Daphnia pulex: one gene and its partner. The protein of the gene in region 1 purifies or fractionates together with the protein of each later gene. This does not show direct contact. Links are inferred from orthologs where the notes say so. Each region holds a gene or a part of one and is shown on either strand. Other genes may lie near its edges. The genes, in order: PHD finger protein 12-like and GATA zinc finger domain-containing protein 1-like.

What was found.
Region 2: the proteins of PHD finger protein 12-like (region 1) and GATA zinc finger domain-containing protein 1-like purify together in Homo sapiens (affinity purification with mass spectrometry; 7 studies listed by BioGRID and IntAct, with this or other methods). This does not show direct contact. The link is inferred for Daphnia pulex from reciprocal best matches to the Homo sapiens genes PHF12 and GATAD1.

Annotation. Positions count from the first base shown.
Region 1 is NC_060017.1:4,333,012-4,337,556, reverse strand, and holds the start of PHD finger protein 12-like, read left to right. Parts: upstream 1-1,599; 5' UTR 1,600-1,748; coding exon 1,749-1,796; intron 1,797-1,868; coding exon 1,869-2,062; intron 2,063-2,128; coding exon 2,129-2,198; intron 2,199-2,260; coding exon 2,261-2,609; intron 2,610-2,671; coding exon 2,672-2,786; intron 2,787-2,852; coding exon 2,853-2,982; intron 2,983-3,049; coding exon 3,050-3,220; intron 3,221-3,277; coding exon 3,278-3,385; intron 3,386-3,454; coding exon 3,455-3,651; intron 3,652-3,717; coding exon 3,718-3,845; intron 3,846-3,913; coding exon 3,914-4,120; intron 4,121-4,183; coding exon 4,184-4,300; intron 4,301-4,370; coding exon 4,371-4,453; intron 4,454-4,525; coding exon 4,526-4,545. Other genes in the region: importin subunit beta-1-like, read right to left, coding at 1-27, 106-255, 330-482, 539-949, 1,033-1,091, 1,282-1,336.
Region 2 is NC_060026.1:11,475,608-11,479,065, reverse strand, and holds GATA zinc finger domain-containing protein 1-like, read right to left. Parts: upstream 1,881-3,458; 5' UTR 1,764-1,880; coding exon 1,344-1,763; intron 1,260-1,343; coding exon 1,010-1,259; intron 955-1,009; coding exon 791-954; 3' UTR 580-790; downstream 1-579. Other genes in the region: F-box/LRR-repeat protein 4-like, read left to right, coding at 2,189-2,195, 2,261-2,424, 2,490-2,619, 2,672-2,867, 2,926-3,187, 3,284-3,409. UniProt on the Homo sapiens protein: Component of some chromatin complex recruited to chromatin sites methylated 'Lys-4' of histone H3 (H3K4me), with a preference for trimethylated form (H3K4me3).

The DNA of each region.
Region 1 (4,545 bases):
GGTTGATGCCATCGCCTTTAATGTAATCTAAAATTTACAAAAAAATCACAAAAATTGTGAATTAATCCCAAAAAAACTGGATAATTGATTAATTGTTCAACTTACTGGAACAATGGCCGATTCCATGTAGTTCTCCAAGTGATGATAGTAACATGAGCCAATCTTTACCAATACTTGTAGCCAAATCAGAGATTCTTCAACGCTAGACGATTGTGTGCCGTCGCAGACAACTTGCATGATCGCATCTCGACCTTCCTATTTATAAATAATTCAATATTTTGTATCAAAAATTTTCAAAAACAAAATACAAAAGCAATTGAGCCCAATACCTCAGTGTCAAATGTCGGGTAAATGCATTCCAGAGAACTCAGTAGAGCTCGAGCAGCTGCCAGACGAATTCTTGTAGTTGATTTGCTGTCCTCCATACAAAATAGTATGGAATGGAGGATTGACGTGTAAGAGTTGACCAAAATGAGCACGTGCTAAGACAAATAACATTAAGAGCATTCAAAAATGTGTTATTAACCAGTTAACTCACAATTTCTTGACAAATGAAGGCGATGGCCTCTAAGGCTGCCTCTTTTCGATGTTCATTTGCTGGTTGAACGACCACGTCGCAAAGCTCAGAAAGCAAATCCTCCAGAGAAGTTATCTCAGAAGAAGGCTGTAGTGTTCCCGGGAAGAGACTTTCAGCTACCGCAATGTAAGCCAAACATTGGGCGGCACAACTTGGATGAATGTTTTCTGTTCCCAAGGTCGAAATCAAACGCTCAACCACGGCCATGCGAGTTTCTTCTTCAAGTTTTGACCATCTCTGTAGACACTCTTTCTTCAGGGTCACATCTTTAACAGTCAAACAGTTTTTCAGTTGGAGACCAGCAGCTTGACGAGCAATAGGTGAGTTGTTTGGATCAGCAATTACAACTGACATATTTGAAATAAATTGACCCTATAAGTATGAAAATACAAAGAACAGTAACAGATAATTATGTGGTGTACTAATAAACTGAGATTTGTTTTATTGAAACTAACCATATCATCCTGAGCATACTTTTCCAACGCCAATTGGGTTTCGGCCAATACATTCTTGTCTGAAAATGATACATCTTTATTAATTTAAGATTTAAAATGAAAGTGATATTATAGCTGCAATATGATATGTAGGAGTGTCGTAACATGTTGAGTCAAGAAACTTTGCAAAAAAGCCCCGCAGACAAGTAATATGCAATGTAAGATTGTGATATCAACAATGAAAAGATATTAAGTTGCATTGTTTATTACCTGGTGAAATAGTTTGTTCTAAATACTGGATGAGACACTTCAATGAATTCGCCATTTCTTTACAATTAGAGCCTTGTGGCTGCCGGTGACTGTATAACTGTACGGCACGAGTAGCTTTGAGATGTCAAATCTAAAAATCGACACATAACTCATGACTAAAATCTGAATTCTGAAATGACACAGAATAGGCCTAACGACTGTCAATTATTTTTTAAGTCGTCGCCTTCGGCTGATCATTTGCCCGCAAATTTCGATTTTTAAACGGAACGCCGGTTCGCATGTTGAGCTTCTGTTGGCTGCCGCTAGGTTCTTGGAACTCAGATTGAAAGATGTTGTTTAGCATCGAGTCAAATCGACACTTAAAGTTTTGTTGTTTCTTGATTCTTGCTGTCGTTTTCATCTTTAGAAGATGCTCGCATAGAAACATTAGGATTTAGTGAGATTATAATTACATTTTCTTGTACGCAATGGCCAATTCTCAATATGATCTCGATCTATCGGGTGGATTAATGCCAGTAAGTTCACTCTTTAATCGGCTGTATGCTCATTTATGGATGTCGACTAAGATCGGTGTTTTGTTTATGCAGCAAATTCAAGCTCTACTAGCACCACCTTTGTTGGAAGATATTTCAAAAGAAAAGAGAAAAGACGGATTGGCGTTGCATCCCTACTACAGACGACCAGGACGAGGTCATAATCGCGATAGTTGTGATGCTTGTAAAGAGGGAGGTGAACTCATTTGCTGTGACTCTTGCCCAGCATCTTTTCACCTACAATGCCAGTAAAATAATACCATCAATTCAAATTTATTTCTAATATTTACATTATTCTGTTTTCACTGTTTCAGTGATCCTCCATTAGAGGAGTCGGATTTACCCAAAGGTTTGTGGAACTGTCACAGTTGTCGTATGAAAAAGGTAATTTTAAACTTGTGTAGAGTTAAAAGAAAACAATTGACCAACAAAACATTTGTTTTCAGGCCCAAGATGCTGCAAATCCTCTTACAAATTTCATAGAGGTGGATGACGGAGCAGACTCTGATTCCAGTAAAACTGGAAAAAGACCTTATAACTCAGCAACTCAATCAGTAGGCAGTGGTCAGGGAGCCCCTGAAAGAATATCTGGTCGCCGTCGAACAAACAACTCGGATGATGTTGATGTAGAAACCACTGGAGTTAGTTCAGAAAAGTCCAGTGATAGAGAAGACGTCATTGTTGATAATATGGGCAAAGTCTCATTTTTTGCCCCTCTCATCAGAGTAGCAGCATCTATGAACCCACAGCAATTCGAACTCCCACCAGAACTTGTAGAACCTATTCCTTTTCCAGGTAAGCTAAAACCAATATTAGATAAAATTGATTAACAAGTTAATTAACTTGCCATTTTCTAGGTACCAGTAAATTGTGTATTTCGAAAAAAACCGGATCTGGCCCCAAAAAAAAATCACACGAACTTGATAACGGGCTCGTGCCATTACCGTTACGAGCGTGCTTCTACTGCAGCAAGTATGATTGAATCAGGTTTCTGTTTCAATATAGTTACATCATCAAATTCATCTTTCGAATTCTTAGGAGTTGCCGCAAGGCGCCAATGGTTGCCTGTGACTTTTGCCCCCTGGTTTTCCATCTGGATTGTCTGGATCCTCCCCTTGTTTGCATGCCAGTTGGCAAGTGGATGTGCCCCAATCACCCTCAAAATATTGTAATATTTTGCCTTTTAAAGGAATTTTCCGTTTATCTCACAGAAATGTTGAATTCTTTATCACTAGGAATATAAATTGTTGCCTGATTCACGACTTTCCGAACGAGTGAAGTTTTGGTCGTTCTTACAGAGACCCATTGACCATGAAACTGTAAAAATCAATTTCCTCCGCAAAGTAAACCGAAAAAATCCGCCTTTTCGTCGGAAGGTCGCACTACCTGGTCGTCCTCGTATGAGGGTAAGTGTTAGAGATGCTACTCTTATCTTCGAAAATAACTAACGAAGCATTTTGCAGGTCCCACAAATCATCAAGGACCAGTACAAACATCCACCGTTACTTCCGGCGCGTTTAAATGGAGCTCAACCATTTTACTGGTCGTCCGTTCTCCCAGAAACACGGAAGGTATGTCCATTTTCCTTTCAAAATCTGGACTTCCCCTTTTAATTTGTTAACCATTTCGTCGAATTCCAGAATTTGAAATCATTCGATAAAAATGAATTAATAGACGAGGAAAACAAAGATAGAGAACAATCACGACTTCAGGAGGATGCTCAGCAAATAGCAGCAGACTGCGAAGCAATGTTTTCAAACGAAGGCGAGACTGTCGGAAAATTTGATACTGCGTTACCTGAACGGAGAGATAAAGAGTCTGTGGAAGGATCGAGCTCGTGAGTGGTTCACAAATTAAAAACGCATCAGATTATTCAATATTCAGAAATGTCTTTTATGTTCAGCTCTTCTTGGGATGGTTTGTTTGCTGAAGAGTTTCAAGATATCGAAGCAGATGTCAAAAGTTATTTGGGAACCCTGAGGCGGGGCATGAAAGAGAGTCACTTGAAAGTCTTTATGGAGCAGCTATCGAGTAATTTTCAATACTTTTTCCTCCGCAATAGAACGGGATTATGACTTTTTTAACTTTTTATTTTCTAGATGATTTGCTAAGGGCAATGGATCAAGAAACAGTGAGAGCTCTTGCCATGCAAAGAGTGCAGCAGCTAATCCTGAACCCAGAATCTCGCTCGTTGACTGTGTTCCCTCTTCCTGGAATGATGTCTTCTGGTTGCAGCACTCAGTCTACAGTCATTCCACAACCTTGGCTTCAGGCCAGCAGTGCTTCCGACAGTGGTAACATTATCTGTACGAATTACAGTCTCGAATGGATCAACAACTTTCTATCTTCCCCTCTTATCGATTCAATAGACAGTAGTCAAGCCCAGACGAATGTCTTCCCACGACAGCCTAGAGCATTCCTCTGCCCTCTTAGCTCAGCTTATCCACCAGCACCCATCTACTATCGCCGACTTACTATTGGCACTGGTATTATTTGCCCTTCCATAACTATAGTTGAATTATCGGTTTTATTCTTTAAAACATTTCTGTGCGTTAGGTGCTGACATGGATTTGAACTTGTCTACGTTCGGTGCGTGCAGCTATGTTTCCGGACATCACTCTACTGTGTTTTACGATGAGGTATTTTAATGTCTACTCTAAAGCCAATCAACTTTTATGTAATTGTTCGTTTTTCTTTTAACCCAAAAACAGATGTCGAGACATTTCGAGTT
Region 2 (3,458 bases), on another chromosome or scaffold:
CCAAATTTTGAAACGACTTCATCACTTCACAGAATCACGGCCCTCTATGGGTGATAATCAGAAACCCATTGGACAAAATGGATGTATTTGACGAACCTACTATACGATTTCGAATTTGTTATAGTTCTTTTAAACTTTTTTAAGGTTTTGAATTAAAACTCAAATTAAAATAACAAATTCCCGCTGGTGATTTCAAGTTATAATTGTCTATTAGTTCGAATGACGCTAGTATTATGAATGAATAAAAACCCATACAACTTATACAAGTTTGAAAAACTCATTAACATTATCGATATTATTTTTAAATATCATTATATTTTAAATGAACTGTTTATTACCACTATAATCGAAACATTTTTACCGGTAGACTAGAAAATATTTCAGCTCAAAATTTCAGCACAAAATAATTTCTAAAAACATTGTTACCCGCAAGGCAAGCCGTAATGCAGGAATGGTCAAGTATTATTTTTAAGAAAGCCGTGCAAGCAGGTAAAAAAATCTTCTATAATTTCCGACATGTAATTTTCGAAAATATCTTACTAAAATTGTGAAAACTCTTAAAAATTTAGAAAAGAACACTTAAAACAGATCAAACAATTTAATTTACTCTTCCTCCGAATTTCAGTGAGGTAGCAGAACATGTGACAAATATTTTTAGTTACAAACTTCAGAAATGATGGAATTGTTTTACAAACGAATCTGTAATGGCATTAAAAGACACAAAGAACAAAAGAGCCGGCTGCCTTGGTCTTTCTATTCTACTATAAACGGATGATCCTGGTGGAATTTTTCATGAATGAATAGTTCTTCGTACGGCACCCATACTTGTCCAAATATAGCCAGCTTCTTTTTCACTAGACACTCGAACATTTTCATCCAGTTTGTAATATTCGTTCGGCGCATGCATTACGAAATCAAGATAATCCAGCTTACGTGGCAATTCTTCTTCAGGACCTAAACCAAGACTGTTTTAATGCTGTACAGAAAAAAAAATATAAAATTCACATACCTAAAATATATGTCTGTGGATCAAATCCCACATCTGGGGGTGGTGAACTTTGAGTTGGGATGAGCCAAGTTAATACAGCACTTTTTTCACAAAATTGGTCTTGCAGAAGCCCACGAATTTGTGCATAATAAACTCCATCATCTTCATCTGTGACTGAAACTATGTCCCCCACTTGATAATAAATGTCATGATGAAACAAATGCCCACTAGTAAAAGAGGTAGAAGCAACAGTGGGGGCTTTAGATGGTAGCTAAAATTTAAAAAGGAATAATTTATAAAAAGTTATTGGAAAAATCTATTTAATTTTTCTATCAAATTTATGGATTTGTTTAACCTGTTTCTTGAAAACAGCTCTTCTTCCACGTCCTTTGCCAACTGTTGCTTTATTGGCAGTTCCTAGTTTCTTGCTTCTTCCACGTGTCTTTTTTGTTCCTGTGCGTCCACCTCTACTGTTTGAAGTTGTGTTTCCTGACCTGGTCCCTGGGCCAAATTCATTACGTGGCTTTATATCATCCACAAGTTCATCCACAACAACATCATCCACTTCAATAGTTTCATTATAAGCATCTTCTTCTTGAAATTTTATTTCTGGTGAAGGCGCCTTTTCTATAACAATAGATTCTGTTTTCACGGTTGTTGTCAATTTCCCTTGAAAGCATTCGCTGCAAACTGTATTTCCTTCGTTGTTTTTTTGCCATATCTCTGATATATTGATATCGCATTTAAAACAAACAGGTTTTATTCCAAATGGCATGGTTAAGGTTAATAACAAAATCTATTACTTGAAATAGCACTAGCACCGAAAACGAGTCTCCCAAAAATTGTTTCACTTTTTATTTACAAAGCAGAAGACTTTTACTTAAGTTGTGGACAACAATCTACAACATTGCAATTTCTAACTTGTGTAATTTTATATAAAAATAGTTTAAACATTGAATGCAAAATTAAATTTTTAAATAAAAATTGGGTGTGATGAATCAAAGTCTTAGTAAAATTTAAATTTACCATCGATTGGATGGTAAATCACTACTAGAGAACTAGACGCTAGCTGGCGCTCAAAATGAATTTTCCGTTTGTAAACAAAACCATTCTTCTGCTAGATATTTGTATTTTGGACTCCCCGAATCATATTTTGTAAATCCCCCAAATTTGATCTGTGATAGACATTTTGAACGATTCATGTTGGGTGAGAATGAAATGTGTTAACATTTTTTTTCCTACATTTAAATCAATTTTATATGATTTTATTAGGAAATAGTGAAGGCCTCATTTTCATAGAGCAGTATGCCAGCAAGGTGACATACTACACTTCACAGTATGGAAGTATAAATGGAGTGTCTTACACAGCCAACAATTTAATCGGTCCTCCTTCTCGATATCCGGCATATGGAGATTTTCCTGAAACCTACGTCCCGGTACTTTTTTATTAAAATTATTAGTGCAAGTGTGAAATAAAAAGCATATTCTGAAGACTATGTAGAGGAAGGTCTATTTAAAAAAAAAAACATTTGTTCTTCAGAGAACATATGGGCCATGGTGGAAAGAAACATTAGTAATTTCACCTTCTAAAGGAAAAACTGAAGTTCTCATAACAGGACAGGATTTTGTTGGTAATTCATTCATTTTACAATTAGGGACTTTTTTGACATACTTTAAATGTAGATATCCTGTTTCAAAAACCTGTCTATCCATACTGTGTAAATGTATATGAAACATATAACTCTGGTTGTGTGAGACGACTGTGGGCTGGTGATGGCCAAGGAAATTGGAAATTGTTTCATGAAAATCATATGAAAAAGTCTCTGAAGCATTCACAGATATTTTCTGCTGAACCTCATCATCTACAGTTTCTGACTAGGTAGAACTGAGTGTTTAGCTTCTTTTTTCAGCAAAATTCCTATTTTATATTTCTTTAGCATTATTAGAGTTGAAATAGACAGCAGTTTGGCCGATTATTATCCAGAGATCGATGCTGTTCTTCTGGTTGGAACAGAAACCTATCCTCCGTTTGAAGAATCGCTTAAACTTTGTGTCACAGGATTATCTACGAAAATTATTGGATTGGGGCTCCATCGTTTAGTGCCAGGCTTCAATGCAATCGAAAGTATACAACGGCTCTGTTTTAAGTACCAAGTCCCAGCGCAATCCTCAACTATTTGCCATCTCAGTAAATTACCCGTGAGGACCGAATTTCATCAAGTTGATCTTGTTTCTTTTTACTGCTTTATTTAGTATTTTTTTTTTTTTTTTTTTTTTTTTTTTTTTTTTTAACAGGAAGAAATTTTACGCATAATACTCTCATTTTTGGATCTTCACAGCTTGTGCTCTTTAGCATGCGTCTCGACCTCATTCAATAAAATATGCAAGGATTCGGTGCTCTTCACTTCAGTGAATTTAAAAGTATTAAACATCCACTTTCAGTTAGCCCAATTTTTCTTCTAATGGGTTG